4 linked regions of the Saccharomyces cerevisiae S288C genome follow. The gene in region 1 interacts genetically with each later gene. Each region holds a gene or a part of one and is shown in the gene's direction. Other genes may lie near its edges.

Region 1 (5,140 bases):
TTTGAGTGAAAAGATTTCTTTCCACTATTTACTGTCAATTTTATTCAACACGAAAGGGAATTAAGTGCACATAAATACTTCATTTCTTGATAAGGAAGTATAATATTGCTCCTAAGAAGAGTTTGAAATGAGCGATGTTCTATCTCAATATAAAGGGTGCTCAGTCAGAGATTTACCCACACCCAATTTCGTTATTAATGAAGAAAAATTTGATAAGAATTGTACGACAATGTTGAACAACGTTGAAAAGCTCAGCCAGGAATGTGGCGTACCAATCAAATTTCGTGCACACGTAAAAACGCATAAGACAGCAAAGGGAACTTTGAAACAATTGGGCCACGGACTTCCATTGGCTAAACGCACTACAAGAGCCATATTAGTATCAACTTTGAAAGAAGCAGAAGAACTTCTTAATTATCAAGATAGACAATGTTCGGATTATATTGACGATATAACATATAGTTTACCCTGTTGCGTTCCAGAGTTTATTCCTCTTTTGAGCAATTTGTCAAGAAGGGTGAATAATTTTCAGGTTTTTGTTGATAACATTGAACACTTGGAGAATTTAAAGAATTTCGGTAGGCCTGCTTCCGGCAAGAAATGGTCGGTTTTTATCAAGGTTGATATGGGGACTAAGAGGGCAGGTCTTGCTTTCGACTCTCCAGAATTTTTGAGTCTTTTAAAAAAACTGACTTCCTCAGAAATTAAAGAAGTAATTGAGCCATATGGGTTTTATGCTCATGCCGGACACAGCTACTCTTCAACCTCGATCAACGACACTCAGAATCTTTTGATGGAAGAAGTGAAAGCAGTCAATTCTGCCGCTAAAGTTTTGTGCTCTGTGGATCCTCAGTTTGATCCTTCTAAATTAACACTTTCTGTGGGCGCTACTCCGACTTCCAATTCTTTGAAACTCGATAATAAAAGTACCCTTGTTAAATTCATTACTACTCAATTAGTTAGTACGCTTGAAATCCACTGCGGTAATTACTGCATGTATGACCTGCAACAGGTGGCAACAGGCTGTGTCCAAGATCACGAATTGTCTGGTTTTGTATTAGGAACAGTACTATCATCTTACCCTTCTAGAGGTGAATTGTTGAGTAATACAGGTGTAATGTGTCTAACGCGAGAAGCATCCTCAATAAAAGGGTTTGGAATATGTGCTGATTTGGAACATGTGTTAAAATCCGAGAGTTTCAGTAGGGAATGGTATGTAGCAAGGGTCTCTCAAGAACACGGGATACTGAGGCCAATAAGAAACTGGAACGAAACTACTCCATTAAAATTAGGCAGCAAAATTGCCGTCCTTCCTCAACACGCTTGTATCACAATGGGACAATTTCCATATTATTTCGTGGTAAACAGCGAAGGCATTGTCAACGATGTTTGGTTACCTTTTCAGAAATGGTAAGCTCTCTTTTGTCGTTGGTTATCACTCTCATCAAAGCATCTCTGTGTCTATGTAATTGTGTATCTATTTATAAATAGTAACTAAGAGTAAGGTTGTACACAGGTTGGTCTAAACACCCTCTTGTTAAGCTTCCGCATTACCTGCGAGCTGGTAATTGTAATACAGATTTATTTGTTGATATAATGCTATGAAATTTCAACTACCGTCATTGAGCTTCTCAATAAAGTCGTTACGTACGAATGAAAAATTTGAATAATTTAAACCTTCGAAAAGATCTTTGAGTTGTACTTATTAAACCTGAAGTAGATCATTAAGACAAACAAAGCTCTGACTGACACCAATAACTCCTACAGTGATGACAGCTATCTTAAACTGGGAAGATATATCCCCTGTTTTAGAGAAAGGCACCCGCGAATCACACGTGTCTAAAAGAGTTCCCTTTTTGCAAGATATATCACAATTAGTTCGTCAAGAAACATTGGAAAAACCTCAATTATCTGAAATTGCTTTCGTTTTATTGAATACCTTCACGATTTACGAAGACAATAGGTCTAAAAGTTTGGTAACTTCAATATTGCTTGACATCTTAAATCTAGAGCCATGTCTCCTAGAAAACTTTATCCGATTCATTTCCGACGTGGTCATCAGTAATCCGGCTACCAAAGCAGTCGCTGATTACCTTAATTTGTTAGATTGGATTAATTCTTTCTTGATTTTTGTGTCGCATAATTCTAATTTATTTGAAGAGTACATTCCAAAATTGTTGGTCGCCCATTCTTATGCAACGTTCGGTGTGGAAACTATTCTTGACAATCAAGAAGAAGGCAAGAAATCCCAAGATAAGCAGAACCAGCATAGAAAGAGAATTCGTTATTGCATTTTCCAAACAACGGTCAAAGCATTCCTTAAGTGCTTGAAGGATAATGACGACAGTATTTCCTTCATGAAGATTTCAATTAAAACTGTACTGGAGAGCTACTCTAAGCTGAAGATAACCAGTGTTGGAGTAGTTATGATAATGGGTGCACTAACTCAGGCTGCACTTCAGTTATTATCGAGGCAACCAGCTCTGCACTCCGTTTTAAAGGAAAATTCTGCAGAGAAATATTGCGAATATTTGGGCAAAGAAGTGTTTTTAGGCAAAAACCCACCATCTTCCTTTTGCTTAGAGATTGGTTTGAAGCCATTTTTAAAAGAATTTGTTTCACAAGAGTTATTCATTAAGTTTTTCATCCCTAATATTGAAAAAGCAGTTTTAAGATCTCCTGAGGTTGGTTTTTCGATTTTATCTGAGTTATATGCTGGTGTTTCTCCTGAAAAAGTAAATCTCTTAAATGCCTTTGCTTCCTCGAAACTGATTAATCAATACTTCTCGTCATTTAAAAGCTCAAAAGAGGTAGTTAGATCCGTCTCGCTTCAGTCTATGATAATCTTATTGAGAAAAATTTCCAATACTGACACTACCTTGGAAGATTTGACCAAGCTTATTGACGAAATATTTAAGAACATCAAATCGAACTTAAATGCAGATTACAAATCACTTATTTCCAAAATTCTCATAGAAATACCCTTAACGCACTATGAGGTTTCAGAAAAAATCTGCAAAGGGCTGTCCCCATATATTGGTAAAGAAGGTAATGAAGCAGCCTTGACTCTAATGCTTAACGCTTTTTTTGTTCATTATTTTAGTCTGGGCAAACCTATTGAAGACTTGGATAAAATTATATCAGCTGGTTTTGCAGATAAAAAACCTGCTTTGAAAAAATGCTGGTTTGCCGCATTTTTGAACAATTCCAATGCTGCCTCTGAAGAGGTGATTTTAAACTTTATAGACGGTTGTTTGGAATTTGTGAAAGACTCCATCATACATTATCAGACTCACGGGCATGCATGTATTCTAGCATCAATTGAATTTACAAACAAAATTTTGGCATTGGACAATACTGAGCTAAATGATCGTGTTATGCAGCTCATAGAAACCCTTCCTGAAAATTCTTCGATAGGTGATGCTATCTTAACTGCTGCATTATCAACAGAGCTATCCATCGAAAACCGTATTCATGCTGTTAATTTACTACAAGAATTGTTCTACAAGAAACCCGAATTTATTGGGTTTAGCGTGATTGATGCAATTGAAAGGAGAATGCGTGTCCAAGAATTAATACCTCAACAAAATACATCCTTTAAATATGTCACTTCTGTACTACTGGCCATTACGTCTGAGTTACCTGACAAGGAAGCCTCGATAAAGGTATTAATCAATGCTCTGGTCATAGCGCAATGGAATATTTTCAACATTAAGAATGGCTGGGCTGGTTTAGTTTTACGTGCAAGGCTTGATCCAGCTGAAGTTGTCAAAGAACATGCTAGCGTTATCATGGAGAAGATTCTTGAAATCACAGGTAGTTGTGAATGGATAGATACAATTTATGGTGCATGCGGTTTGCAAGCAGCTGCCTATGCAGCATTTATTCAGCCTAATGAGTTCACACCGATCCTTTGTAAGACTATCGAAGCAGATTTAACCGCGGATGATTTCTCACGTTTATCTGAAGAGGACTTCGAAATTTTTGCAGGAGAGGAAGGTGTTCTGGTGGTTGACGTCCTGGAAGAAAGCATGAATAAGAAACTTTCCAATAAAAATTCTAAAGAGTACGAAACTCTAATGTGGGAACAAAAAATAAGGAAGGAGCAAGCCAAAAAGAATGTGAAAAAACTTTCAAAAGAGGAACAAGAGCTCGTTAATGAACAGTTAGCGAAAGAATCTGCAGTTAGATCACACGTTTCGGAAATTTCCACTCGTTTAAAGCGTGGTATTAGATTGGTATCTGAACTTTCCAAAGCTGCTTGCTTAGTCCAAAATGGCATCGCTACTTGGTTCCCCTTGGCAGTCACAAAGCTTTTGTACCTATGCTCGGAACCAAATATTTCAAAGCTAACAGAGGATGTAAATAATGTGTTCTTGCAGCTTTCTCAAAATGTCTCCGAGAGATTAGGTAATATCAGACTTTTCTTAGGTTTGGCGACTTTGCGTGTGCACAATGCTAATGGCATCTCGCAAGATTATTTACAAGAACCACTGGTTGAATTACTTACAAGAGTTCTTTTTAGGATCAAGTTCGTCTCCAACCAAGCAGCAATAGATTCCATCAGTTTGACATATATTTTACCATTGTTGATTAATGTTTTAGAAAAGGGTAAGGCGATTGCATTAAAGAATGCGGACAAGCCTGTTGTTAAGGCTGAGTTTGTTGAAGAAGATGAAGAAGAAGAACATCTGTTACTGGCCATGGAAATTATTTCTGTACACGCTGAAGCTTTTGAGGATCCTTCCATTCCGAGAATTTCCATTGTTGAAGTGTTACTATCTCTTCTATCTTTACCCTCAAAAGCGAAGATTGCTAAAGATTGTTTCAACGCTCTGTGCCAAAGCATATCTGTTGCACCAAATCAAGAAGACCTTGATATGATACTATCAAATTTACTATCACCAAATCAATTTGTCCGTTCAACAATATTAGAAACTCTTGATAACGAATTCGAATTAGAACCTTTTATGAAATATTCACCTGAAGTTTTCATTTGCAGATTTGATTCGGATCCTTCCAACCGCGAGATTGCAGATTTCATTTGGGAGTTCAACAAATTTGTAGTCAACGATGAATTACTAAAAAGCTTATTCCCACTATTCAATCAGGATGATAGTGGCTTGAGATTATTTGCGGC
Region 2 (3,525 bases), 630 kb from region 1:
CTAAACCCATTTTTATTTTCATTAATATCCTTATGGAAAAACCTCTCCTGTGTTATACTTTTAGCCTTAGAAATTGATAGAATTGAAGAGGAGAATGGCACTTACGAAACGCCGCTTATGGTTCGCGCCACAATTCGTGGAGCCGCAGCATTGAGGTCTGTAATAGCTACCGTTCTCAATGGATTAGTGAAAAATAATGATCATGATTTCAAGCACGAGTCTTTAAACACATTCATGTCGCCCTATGGAAGAAAATTGTGTCATGGTGCTTTATATGCCGATTTAAGGTCACATACTGCATCTCTACTTGCGCTTGGAGCAAGCATCGAAGATGTAACAGATTTATTTGCCGATTTACAGTCAGGTGATAGATTTGATGAGGATATTAGATATATGTTTGATTATGAATGTGAAGATTATGATGAATCTTTCTCTGAAAGCGATCATGGAGGATTGGATGAAAGCGTTGTTAACCCAACAGAAAAAATAGCATCTGGTAGTAATAATGTTTTCTTTCGGAGACGGTGCAATTGCATCTTCAATGATGATAAGTTGGTGGCAGAGGATGGTGCAAATGAAGCCTTTGGGTCAACAAATAGCGAAAACGTTGAAGGCGCAATGCATAATAATAGGAATGCGGTACATAACGCGACTACAGCCACTTCTGATCACGTCGTTACGTCACCTAACCCACTTTCCGTTAGATCAAGAAGTACTTTTGAATTTGACTATAGTGGGGAAGATTGGAGGGACGTTCCCAGAGATTTCAATATGTACTATTCGCCATCTTATTCATTCATCCATGAGCCTAAGTTAGATGTCATATTTAGTTTGACTCTACGTGGCGCAACAGAAAAGTTGAATAAGGAGGAATCCATATTGTTAGTGCGTTCAGTTGCATCGTGTGTAAGGAACGAGCAGGACCAAATGATTTTAGCAGACCTGGAGTCTAATTTTTCCGCAAGTATAAACGGCGATGTAGAAGGTGAAGGAAATACCAAAATGTCCAAGATAGATAATGAAGATCTCAGAAGAACCACGCCGGATGATATTTATGAAATATGGTCTGAAGAATCAGCATTTGAAAGGATGCTAAACGTGAATCACGACGTTGCGTGGAGATTAATGGATGAAATGTTAATGTGCACCGGTTATAGGAGAATATTGATATGGTTCCTTACGCATTTGGAGTTAAAACATTCGTTGATATATTACGTTTTTGAACTAATAATGGGGTTACGTGGAAAACCGTTTTCCGGAGAAGCCAGTGATCAAGATAAAAAGGATGATATGATATATGAGATCTTGAAGAAAAAGCAGAAGAATGAAGATGCTTCAGGACTTCCCTTTTCAAGGCAAGGACCTATCGTATTATCTGATATTGAGACTAAAATGTTACTGCAGGAGTTTTTTATGAATGCTGCTATTTTTTTGTCATCAAAAAATAACGAAGAAGAGAATGAAGACGGCGAGAAAATCTCCTTGTACTCCCTTGGTTTGGTTAGGTTGATCTGTTACATGGTGCAGACACTCATCGCGAACGACAAGTTTTTTTTTACCAAATCAGAATGCACTTTTGAGCTTCAAACTTTACTGATGACATGGATTGGCATCCTTCCTGAAGCCAAAGATTTATTCTTTAAGATCAAGACAAGGCTCGCCATGGAAGAAGAGGATAGTGCCGATACTATGCAGCATGAGGGCAGGAAGAACTCTGACATAGAGAAGAAGCTAAACGCTAAGCCAGCTTCTGAACTGAATCTGAAATTGTTAAACCTGTTTCCCTCAAAGCCTGCAAACAAAGACGATAGTTCCCCTATTAACACGTTGCGTAGTTTTATCGCTGATTACTCCTTCGACACCCAGGTGAACCCTCCAGGAAGAAGGGTGGTGTTCTACGATGGTAAGATTTTGCCATTGCCCAAAGCCGATAAGCCTATCCCACTTCATGAATATATAACACTCGCAGAGCTCGATGTTGGAGACAGTGAGTGAGCAGTGAATTGCTCATGTTTTCTCTGCATCCTCATTTAATGACAATTAGCCATGTAATAACATCTTGAGGCAGTTAAATATTCGTTACCCTGCAGGTGGCAAAAAATTTATAGAATAAAAGCATAAAAAGATGGATATCTATGTAATAAGGAAACATTGGCAGAGCGAAGAGAACAGACTGCTTTCTATAAAAAGTTTTCGATCAGTCTCTATTTTAATAATTGATTATTGGATATAGTTAGTAGTGTTAAACATGGGTTCCAGAAGATACGATTCCAGGACAACAATTTTCTCCCCTGAGGGACGTCTATATCAGGTTGAATACGCGCTAGAATCCATTTCACATGCAGGTACCGCAATTGGGATTATGGCATCTGATGGGATTGTTCTTGCAGCAGAACGCAAAGTCACAAGTACTTTACTAGAACAAGACACCTCTACCGAAAAACTTTATAAGTTAAACGATAAAATTGCGGTTGCCGTTGCTGGACTGACTGCAGATGCAGAAATTCTAATAAATACGGCTAGAATTCACGCTCAAAATTACCTTAAAACCTATAATGAAGATATACCAGTAGAAATTTTGGTGAGAAGGCTAAGTGATATAAAACAAGGTTACACGCAACATGGTGGTTTAAGACCATTTGGTGTGTCCTTTATCTACGCCGGTTATGACGATAGATACGGTTACCAATTGTATACATCTAATCCATCGGGAAACTATACAGGGTGGAAGGCTATTAGTGTTGGCGCTAACACATCAGCAGCACAAACCCTACTTCAAATGGACTACAAGGATGATATGAAAGTCGATGATGCCATTGAACTGGCTTTAAAAACGTTATCCAAAACTACCGACAGTAGCGCGCTGACTTATGACAGGTTGGAATTTGCTACTATCAGAAAGGGTGCTAATGACGGAGAAGTGTATCAGAAGATTTTCAAGCCTCAAGAGATAAAGGATATATTGGTAAAGACTGGTATTACCAAGAAGGATGAAGACGAAGAAGCTGATGAAGATATGAAATAAGGTTGGAAAGTATTGTTTGACTTCATGCTTATATAAATATGTACGCATAGAAACATATCTCTAAAATTAAAAGTGAAAGAAAAAAATCGCTAAGATTCCCCTTTCGGGGGAAGGCTGAAGAAACTTTTTTTTGCGCAAATTTCAAGATCGGAATCGCTCGAGAGGCAAATATAAAAAAGGGCCTGCTCGTTTGGCCTACTTGTTGTTGGATTCTAACTCCAATCTAATTTTGGCAGCACTTCAAAAATAAACAAAAGCGATGTCTGCGTCACTAGTGAATCGATCATTGAAAAATATAAGGAATGAATTAGAATTTTTGAAGGAATCAAACGTCATATCAGGCGACATTTTCGAATTAATCAATAGCAAGTTACCTGAGAAATGGGATGGAAACCAAAGATCGCCCCAAAATGCAGATACAGAAGAGTACGTTGAAGCTTTATATGATTTTGAAGCTCAACAAGATGGAGATTTGTCATTGAAAACAGGTGATAAAATAC
Region 3 (4,489 bases), on another chromosome or scaffold:
TCTCTTTGCTTCTTCGATGGCAGATAGGTCTTCCCAGTAAACCTTGACACCATCCAACTTGTTCAAATCTATACTATAAAATGAGTTTATAGGATAATCTTTTTCGCCCAGTTCCCAGACACCACTGTAAATGAACAACGAGTCGCCCACTACACAAGTTGCTGCGTTAAATCTTGGGTGAGGTAATTGATTTGAGATGGTAATATCTTCTTGGTTGTCCAAATCACTGTCATCTTCGTTATCTTCGTCGTCATCGATAGAGTTAGGACCCGTTGTGCTGTTGTCATCATTGTCATCGTCGTCGTCATTTAGATTAGACTTGGCCAGAATGGAATTTAGTAAATCCTGCAGTTCCTTTTCTTGATCTTTATTAGATTTTCTTTTACTTGTGGCGGGTGAATTTTTACTATTCGTTTGACGCTGAGGTTTAATTCTAAGTTTAGACCATTTGTTCAACTCTAGGTGGAACATATATAGGTCGTTATAGAAAACGGACTCTAAGGATTCCTCTGTCTCTTGTAAATCGTAGACACCACCAAAAGCAACGGACTTGTTTTGCTTCCATAGATTGAACGAATACCCGACTCTTGGTGAGGGCTGGTTCTTGAAATTCTTTAATTTTTCCCACTGCCACTTCTTTGGATCAGGCGTTAAGTTCAGTTTCCATGCATCATTCAAGATTTTTCCCTTCATTAAATTTTTATTATTTTTGGCAATGATTTTACAGTAACCACCCATTAATATGGCAGAATTATCTGTAGGAATGAAACAATGACCCGATCTAGCGTCAGGTTTGCTGTTTGTCTCCAATTTGGTCCATTTGTAGGTTGAGATATCAAAACACCACAAATCATTTAGGTAAGAAGTTTGACCATTCCCCAAATCTCTAAATCCACCAAATAATATGAAATAGTTTTTCCAAGCAATAATTCTATGACCTGATCTGGCGCTGGGTGAAGAGTCTCTACCGCCAAACTCCAACTTAGTGAATTTCCTTTCAACGCAGTCAAACAGCCATGTATCAGAATAGTGGTAGAATTTAGATTGTTTTGGGGACGAAAATTCACCACCGTGTAACAGTGCTATTCCGGAAGGATGCACAGCGACAGCGGCACTGGATCTGGGCAAAGGTGCATTTTGCGAAACGTATTTTTTCCAAGAGTTGTTCTTTATGGAGTATGAATACAAATCATTATAGAAATGTGTTAGTTTGGTTTCTGGATCTGTAAATTCACCACCGAAAATGAACAATTCATGTTTATTGTGTTGCGGATTTGCAAACATCAACGGATGAGTACGACAAGAGGGTTTTTCCACAGAAGTGATGTCTACATGCTCTAATTCAATTTGCTTTTTGCTAAAGCTAGAGAGAATTTCATCGAGATCTTGATCACTTTCATCATCTTCTTCGCCGTTTAAAGACTTATTCTTGTTCTTCTGAAACTTTTTCTCCTGCTTTTTTTGGTTTTTCTGATTCTTCAGTTCAGCACGTGCCTTTTTGGCCTCTTTATCCTTCTTATTCTTCTTTGCCATTAATCACTTCTACGAGTCTAGTAGATCTCTTCTCCTTCCTATAAGTGGTTAATGTATTCTTCGAGAAGCTCATCATTTTTTTTTTTCATTTTTTTTTTTTTTTTCAGTTTTCTACAATTTCATCAAATCAATGGTTAAACCGGGCAGAAAAACTACCAAGCGTTACTTTTACTGATGTTAGTACTACTACCGCAGTTATTGCGACTACTACATTAACTATAACTATACAAGAAAAAAAGTAAAGAGGGCTCGTAAAGCAAAGCTTGGTATCTCCTACATAGTCAATACATAGTAGTGAGTCGCCTATAGCCATTCTGTAATGCCATTTGTTAAGACGTGTCCTTAAACCCTTCCGAATCGCCGCGGGCGACATCATAATGTCAGTACCTAATAATGGTTATTATTCGTACCCTGTGGTTAGAGAGCTATGGAAGCTAGCAGTAAATGTCTCTAGTTCTTGCTATCACTACCATATTGGAGAGGCTTCAGGCCCCTCCCCTGAGCCGATCCTCGGAATGACTACCCCGATTCCCGGAATGGGCGTTCGATGATTGGCTCTTTCCTGTAAAGCCTTTTTGCGTTTCTTATAGGCTATATATAATCTTCATCACTGTTGTAGACGTTAAACAAGCATCCAACAGGAGGCCGGACCGAACACACGGGGGAGTGACTCTAGCTCTTTCTTCTGGGATATTCATATCGTTTCTCCATTACATACAGTCATTTTTTTGCATTTTTAAATTCGTGACTTTTAGTACTGCAGCTGTTTTTTTTCTCACGTCAAGAAATTCCATAAAGTCTAACTATTAAACGGATAAGAGATACAATCATGTTGAGATTTACCAATTGTAGTTGCAAGACTTTCGTAAAATCGTCATATAAGCTTAATATAAGAAGAATGAACTCCTCGTTCAGAACTGAAACCGATGCATTTGGTGAGATACACGTGCCTGCTGATAAGTACTGGGGTGCCCAAACTCAAAGATCCTTTCAAAACTTCAAGATTGGTGGCGCTCGTGAAAGAATGCCATTGCCTTTGGTGCATGCATTTGGTGTTTTGAAGAAATCTGCCGCGATTGTGAATGAGTCTCTGGGGGGATTGGATCCCAAGATCTCCAAGGCTATTCAACAGGCCGCTGACGAAGTGGCTTCTGGTAAGCTAGACGACCACTTTCCATTGGTTGTTTTCCAAACGGGTTCCGGTACCCAGTCTAACATGAATGCTAATGAAGTTATTTCCAATCGTGCCATTGAGATCCTAGGAGGCAAGATTGGATCTAAACAAGTCCATCCAAACAATCATTGCAACCAATCTCAATCATCCAATGATACTTTCCCCACTGTCATGCATATCGCTGCCAGTTTGCAAATTCAAAACGAGTTGATACCTGAGTTGACCAATTTAAAGAACGCCCTTGAAGCCAAATCCAAGGAATTTGACCATATTGTGAAGATCGGTAGAACACACTTGCAAGATGCCACGCCTTTGACACTAGGTCAAGAGTTTTCCGGTTACGTGCAACAAGTTGAGAACGGTATCCAAAGAGTGGCACATTCTTTGAAAACATTGAGTTTCCTGGCACAAGGTGGTACTGCCGTTGGTACAGGGTTGAACACCAAGCCCGGATTCGATGTCAAGATAGCCGAGCAAATTTCCAAAGAAACTGGACTAAAGTTTCAAACCGCCCCTAATAAGTTCGAGGCTTTGGCTGCTCACGACGCCATTGTCGAATGTAGCGGTGCTCTAAACACCCTTGCTTGTTCTCTTTTCAAAATAGCGCAAGATATAAGATACTTAGGGTCCGGGCCACGTTGCGGCTACCATGAACTAATGCTGCCAGAGAATGAACCAGGTTCCTCAATCATGCCTGGTAAAGTTAACCCAACCCAAAACGAGGCATTGACTCAAGTGTGTGTGCAAGTCATGGGTAACAATGCAGCTATCACGTTTGCCGGCTCTCAAGGTCAATTCGAGTTAAATGTCTTCAAGCCAGTCATGATCGCCAATCTATTGAATTCGATCAGGTTAATTACTGATGCCGCATATTCATTTAGAGTGCACTGTGTTGAAGGTATCAAAGCCAATGAGCCTCGTATTCATGAGTTGTTGACTAAATCTTTAATGTTAGTCACCGCTTTGAACCCTAAGATCGGTTATGATGCCGCTTCCAAGGTCGCCAAGAATGCTCATAAGAAGGGCATTACCTTGAAGGAAAGTGCATTGGAATTGGGTGTATTGACTGAAAAGGAATTTGATGAATGGGTTGTTCCTGAACACATGCTAGGTCCTAAATAAACGAGCTAAATACCTAATAATATACAAGTTTTTTATGTCTTATTATATGAAGGAAAATAAGGAAGTGGAGAGAATTTGTGATTCAGCAATGGTCCCTCCGCTAAGGTCCCGCCTCTGGCCAGTTATGTCAGAAGAGGAGCATAGGCATACATTCCATTTTTGATGGCTTAATGGGGCCCATAAATTTACATCACTACATTATTATTCCTATACAAGTTATAATAAAATAGTTCATAAATGAATATTTTGCGTCATTTTTTAATTTCTTGTCGTCGGGTAAGGGACCTAGTATTACCCGCATCACGGAAAGGGGAATTTTCAGAAATGATAACGAATAAGAGAGTACACCAGAAGAGCAAATCTCTTTAAGAAGTTTAGCAGCAAATATCGGTTTAAAAACAAACAAAAGCAAAGGAAAAGAACTACTAAATCTTCGAGGACTTTCCCAATTTTTAAAACGCTGAAATTGTATTAGAAGAGAATAACTGTCTAAAAAGAGCATGTTTGCATCCGCTGGACAACAACACCCTCAAATTGTTCCTAAGGAAGAGGAATCCATATTAAACTACCTCCTTGAAGTGAGATCCTCCTTGGCTAAACTCAAGCAAAATAGGACCCAGTATTTGAACTCTAAGGATGTCCAAACTACTTACCAACACG
Region 4 (6,019 bases), on another chromosome or scaffold:
TGAGTCTTCTCATTACAATTAGCTTATTATTGAAGGTTTTTGATTCTAAGCAAACTAAGGACAATATTAAATTTTTTTGCATGCTTAGCACAAGCTGCTCCTCATTGGTAAAGTTTATAGTTTCATCCTTGGCTACAATAGTTTCAAGACATGTTGACAGATTTAATAGCAATTCACAATTAACGTCCTCCTCATCATCTTCTTCCTCTTTTTCGATGTACTCTTGATTTCCTTGGCCAGCGAACTTCTGAGTTTCAGTATTTGAATATGCTTCGACTGCTCCATCTTCCATTGCCTGCAATTCTTTATTTTGCACATTTGAAGAGATTTTTTTGATGTACTGGCTTAAGAAAAAGAGATCGCTTATTTGAACATTTGAGTAATTGACTTTTAAAATATCGTTCAATAAATCTGAACCTAAAACAACTTTTTCGGGAGATGACAAATAGCTATATTGTGTGGTTTTCAACAAAACAAATAATGGACCTCTAATGAAGGGAGCCAAATTTTCTGTATACTTGAGATTTCCAATGCAAAAATTCCTTAGTAGCACAACTGACCGCATCTGTAATTTATCCACTAAGCTATCCTCACTCTTGTCAGAAGAAATTTCGTCCAGCTGAAGAACCCCGCCTATATAATAATTAAGAAGCTTTTTACCTCCAGAATCCAAGAGAATTTCCCGATTATCATCATTATCAATTATTGCGTTAGCGATACATCTAATCACTTCAGAACTGATCTCATAAAACGCTATTTTATCATTAATTGAAATGCTCGTATCATGAAAGCAGATATCAAGCGCTTGTTCTAATACTCTTACTAGGTTCAGTAGCAGCCCAGTTTTACCAACAATATCTCTATTACTTGGTTCTCTCAACGAAACAGCCAATTGGTCCATTACCGCTAGGTAGCTTCCTAAGTAGACATCGTTCATCGGAACATCCTTTATTGAAGACGCATTGAGGATCGGTTGCAGACCAAATAAAATTTCTTCGTAATCCATTTAGTAGGACAGTTATTTTCACTTGAAACCACAATCTTTTGGGGCTGAAATATAGATGAGGTGATTTGTTATTCGCGGTTAGTTTTAGTTCGCGAGTGACCTGCTTACGTTGTCTTCAGCCATTTTACGTTGCTTGGCTTGCCGCCGGCGGGTAATATGATCTTATTTTGACATGGTTAAAGAAAAATACTTTTGACTAAGTACCTTTATCACAAGAAAGTTTAGGAAGGGATTCACTATTTGAAGATCAGACAAATGAGTATACGATATTGGCTCAATATTTTAGCCGAGTTTGCTTAAACTTAGTGGCAGAACTTTAGTCATGGGAAGACAAGAACGATCTTACGAGGCCCTTAGGACCTCGGCGGCTAACAGTAAAACTGGTAACTGACGGACAAGGAATATCAAGGTCATATTTTGAAAAGGTCTTTTTGGGTGACTACTTGGGTAAGAAATAATTAGACGAAGTTTCTTTCTGATGTGTATTGAACTAGTGCTCGTGCTTACATACACATCGCCCATTATTGCCTATAGTTATCCTCACTTTATACGAGGTCTGGCCGTTAACGGTTCTTTTACATTGAAAAACTAAATCAGTCACCCACGCAAATAATGAAAAAAAAAAAAAAATCAAAAGCGAAAAGAAACCTAACGCATATTCTATTCAAACGTTGAATGATTGTATTATTATAAATCATAATCACGTAAAGCCACCGAAATTTTTTTCCAGAGTGAAGAATATAAAAAAAATATCTTTAACCAGTCTATAATGTCTTCTGGTTTGGTCTTAGAAAACACGGCACGTAGAGATGCGTTAATCGCCATCGAAAAGAAGTACCAAAAAATATGGGCTGAAGAGCACCAATTTGAAATCGATGCGCCATCAATCGAAGATGAGCCCATTACAATGGACTCTGAAGAGTTACATCGCACGTATCCTAAATTCATGTCGTCTATGGCCTATCCTTATATGAACGGTGTTATGCACGCCGGCCATTGTTTTACTCTCTCCAAAGTCGAATTTTCTATTGGTTTTGAAAGGATGAACGGTAAAAGAGCTTTGTTTCCATTGGGTTTTCACTGTACAGGTATGCCAATCTTAGCATGTGCCGATAAACTAAAGAGGGAAGCCGAACTTTTTGGCAAGAACTTCGACAATGTACCAGCAGAAGAAGAAGAAATTAAAGAAGAAACGCCGGCTGAGAAAGACCACGAGGATGTTACCAAATTCAAAGCTAAAAAATCTAAAGCCGCAGCCAAGAAGGGCCGTGGTAAGTACCAATTCGAAATCATGTTACAGCTTGGTATCCCTAGAGAAGAAATCATTAAGTTCGCCGACGCCAAGTACTGGTTGACCTATTTCCCACCTTTGTGTGAAAGTGATTGTACTTCACTTGGGGCTCGTATCGATTGGAGACGTTCTTTTGTCACCACTGATGCCAATCCTTATTACGATGCCTTTATTAGATGGCAAATGAACAAGTTAAAGGCTGCTGGTAAAATCAAATTCGGTGAACGTTATACTATTTACTCTGAAAAAGATGGTCAAGCTTGTATGGATCACGATAGACAATCCGGTGAAGGTGTTACACCACAAGAATATATTGGTGTGAAAATTGAAGCTTTAGAGTTCGCCGATGATGCCGCAAAAATCATTGATTCAAGCTCAGATCTTGACAAATCCAAAAAATTCTACTTTGTCGCTGCCACGTTGAGACCGGAAACTATGTATGGACAAACATGTTGTTTTGTTTCTCCAACAATTGAGTATGGTATATTTGACGCTGGTGATTCTTATTTTATCACTACTGAACGTGCATTCAAGAACATGTCTTACCAAAAGCTAACACCAAAGAGAGGCTTCTACAAGCCGATAGTTACTGTCCCAGGTAAGGCATTTATCGGTACCAAGATTCATGCCCCACAATCTGTATATCCAGAACTAAGAATATTGCCTATGGAAACTGTCATTGCTACCAAGGGTACTGGTGTCGTCACGTGTGTACCATCTAATTCACCAGATGACTACATTACCACCAAGGACTTGTTGCACAAACCTGAATACTACGGCATTAAACCTGAATGGATTGACCATGAAATTGTTCCAATTATGCATACCGAAAAGTATGGTGATTTAACTGCAAAGGCTATTGTTGAAGAAAAAAAAATTCAATCTCCAAAGGATAAGAACTTGTTAGCAGAAGCCAAGAAAATTGCTTACAAGGAAGATTACTACACTGGTACCATGATATATGGTCCTTATAAAGGTGAGAAGGTCGAACAAGCCAAAAACAAGGTTAAGGCTGATATGATTGCCGCCGGTGAAGCTTTCGTCTACAACGAACCAGAATCTCAGGTCATGTCACGTTCTGGTGATGACTGTATCGTTTCTTTGGAAGATCAATGGTACGTTGATTACGGTGAAGAAAGTTGGAAGAAACAAGCAATTGAATGTTTGGAAGGGATGCAATTATTTGCTCCTGAGGTAAAAAACGCATTTGAAGGTGTTTTGGATTGGTTGAAAAACTGGGCTGTTTGCCGTACATACGGGTTAGGTACCAGATTGCCTTGGGATGAAAAATACTTAGTTGAGTCTTTATCAGACTCTACTATTTATCAATCATTTTATACCATTGCTCACTTACTATTTAAGGATTATTATGGTAACGAAATTGGACCATTAGGCATTTCAGCTGATCAAATGACAGATGAGGTTTTCGATTACATTTTCCAACATCAGGATGATGTCAAGAACACCAATATTCCTTTGCCTGCTTTACAAAAGTTGAGAAGGGAATTTGAGTATTTCTACCCATTAGACGTCTCAATTTCCGGGAAGGATTTGATCCCTAACCATTTAACTTTCTTCATTTACACACATGTTGCATTATTCCCAAAGAAATTCTGGCCTAAAGGTATCAGAGCTAACGGTCATTTGATGTTAAACAATTCTAAAATGTCGAAATCTACAGGTAATTTTATGACTTTAGAACAAACGGTTGAAAAGTTCGGTGCTGATGCAGCTCGTATTGCGTTTGCCGATGCGGGAGATACTGTTGAAGATGCAAATTTTGACGAATCTAACGCTAATGCTGCTATTCTGAGATTATTCAATTTGAAGGAGTGGGCAGAAGAAATTACCAAGGAATCTAACTTGAGAACTGGGGAAATTACAGATTTCTTTGATATCGCGTTTGAACACGAAATGAATGCTCTGATTGAAAAGACTTATGAACAGTATGCATTGACTAATTATAAGAATGCCTTGAAATACGGTCTTTTTGATTTCCAAGCTGCTAGGGATTACTATCGTGAAGCTAGTGGTGTAATGCATAAAGATTTAATTGCACGTTATATTGAAACACAAGCCTTATTGCTGGCTCCAATTGCGCCTCATTTCGCTGAGTATATTTACCGTGAAGTTCTAGGTAACCAAACCTCTGTACAAAATGCCAAATTTCCACGTGCATCCAAACCAGTAGATAAGGGTGTTCTGGCTGCTTTGGATTACTTGAGAAATCTACAGAGAAGCATAAGAGAAGGCGAAGGGCAAGCACTAAAAAAGAAGAAGGGCAAGTCTGCTGAAATCGATGCATCCAAACCTGTTAAGTTGACTTTATTGATCTCTGAATCATTTCCAGAATGGCAATCACAATGCGTGGAAATCGTCCGTAAACTATTCAGCGAACAGACTTTAGACGATAACAAAAAGGTCAGAGAGCATATTGAGCCTAAAGAAATGAAGAGAGCTATGCCATTCATTTCTCTATTGAAACAACGTTTAGCTAATGAAAAGCCAGAGGATGTGTTTGAAAGAGAGTTACAATTCAGCGAAATCGATACTGTCAAGGCTGCTGCAAGGAATGTTAAGAAGGCAGCACAAGCTTTGAAAATTGCTGAATTTAGCGCAATTTCTTTCCCATATGGCGCCAAAACCGGTAAGGATATCTTTACTGGTGAAGAAGTTGAAATTCCACCTGTAACAAAGATTGTTGAAAATGCTGTTCCAGGTAACCCAGGTGTTGTCTTCCAAAATATTTAAAGGAGAATATTTCAAGATGCCTCATGGTGATTTTCCGATAAAAGATACAAGAAATTCTCATAGAAATACTTATAAAGATCAATAAACAGCAACCAGAAATCACGTCGCATTGATAATTTGCCTCGTATATATCGTATAATTATTGTAATTGCACAACTGTTTTTGTTTTGTATTCGTTCATTTTCTTGTAAAATGTTTCCACATTTTCTTGTGGAGGATATGTATATTGATTCTTTACTTATTCGTGTTATTTTAGCTGCAAATATCTGGGTTTGAGGGCTATTTGACTAGTCTAGAGAAAAGTAGTCGTGAGAAAACTATATTAGATAGATGGATGAGAGGAGCAGGTCAATAAGTAAAAGAATAATAAATAAATATATAAAAATATACATGTAAAAAAGGTGTTCTAAATGAATGATAAAGTTTATGAATGTAATATACTCTAAGGATGTAAGAAAAAAACCGTTGCGTATGTATAATAAACAGGTCTATGATGTTAAAAGATGAAAAGGCCTAATAAAGTGAACAGAACCGGAAGAAACTAAAAATAAATAAAACCCAAGTAACCACGTACAAAAAGCACATTGATGCTAAGAAGATCTCCCTGCTAGGAAAACAGAAATCAGAATGAAACGTTTCAATAATCATCCCTCAAGTTTTTTCTTCATTTGGAGCAACGTCACTACTGACTTTTTTCTCCCCTTTCCTCTTCTCTTTGAAAATTCATCCATTTTCCGCTGAAGCGTCTCACTTGTTTTATTGTCAACTAATGTATTTCTCTTAGCACTTACATGAATAAGCTCATTTGTGTTCATTGATTTTTCCTTAGGTGGATGAAAAGGCTTCAAATTTTTCAGTAGTTCACTAGGTATATTCTCCCACTCTGAAAAGAATTCAAGTCCAGTGGCAGAGGAAATCCATGGTGATAGAGGTTCATTTAAATCTTCAAGCTTCATCGCAAATTCGTATAA

What was found.
Region 2: mutations in GCN1 (region 1) and PRE9 together harm fitness more than expected from each alone (negative genetic interaction), as found in Saccharomyces cerevisiae (4 studies listed by BioGRID).
Region 3: mutations in GCN1 (region 1) and FUM1 together harm fitness more than expected from each alone (negative genetic interaction), as found in Saccharomyces cerevisiae (3 studies listed by BioGRID).
Region 4: mutations in GCN1 (region 1) and CDC60 together harm fitness more than expected from each alone (negative genetic interaction), as found in Saccharomyces cerevisiae (3 studies listed by BioGRID).

What each region holds. Positions count from the first base shown.
Region 1 is NC_001139.9:129,756-134,895, forward strand, and holds the start of GCN1 (Gcn1p), read left to right. Parts: upstream 1-1,769; coding exon 1,770-5,140. Other genes in the region: D-serine ammonia-lyase DSD1, read left to right, coding at 128-1,414. UniProt on the Saccharomyces cerevisiae protein: Ribosome collision sensor that activates a translation quality control pathway when a ribosome has stalled during translation. Directly binds to the ribosome and acts as a sentinel for colliding ribosomes.
Region 2 is NC_001139.9:759,144-762,668, forward strand, and holds PRE9 (proteasome core particle subunit alpha 3), read left to right. Parts: upstream 1-2,248; coding exon 2,249-3,025; downstream 3,026-3,525. Other genes in the region: CCR4-NOT core subunit CAF130, read left to right, coding at 1-1,995; LSB1 (Lsb1p), read left to right, coding at 3,285-3,525. UniProt on the Saccharomyces cerevisiae protein: The proteasome degrades poly-ubiquitinated proteins in the cytoplasm and in the nucleus. It is essential for the regulated turnover of proteins and for the removal of misfolded proteins.
Region 3 is NC_001148.4:44,974-49,462, forward strand, and holds FUM1 (fumarase FUM1), read left to right. Parts: upstream 1-2,362; coding exon 2,363-3,829; downstream 3,830-4,489. Other genes in the region: KEL3 (Kel3p), read right to left, coding at 1-1,533; YPL261C (uncharacterized protein), read right to left, coding at 4,023-4,331; CUB1 (Cub1p), read left to right, coding at 4,330-4,489. UniProt on the Saccharomyces cerevisiae protein: Catalyzes the reversible stereospecific interconversion of fumarate to L-malate.
Region 4 is NC_001148.4:245,215-251,233, forward strand, and holds CDC60 (leucine--tRNA ligase CDC60), read left to right. Parts: upstream 1-1,775; coding exon 1,776-5,048; downstream 5,049-6,019. Other genes in the region: BEM4 (Bem4p), read right to left, coding at 1-1,006; PET20 (Pet20p), read right to left, coding at 5,693-6,019.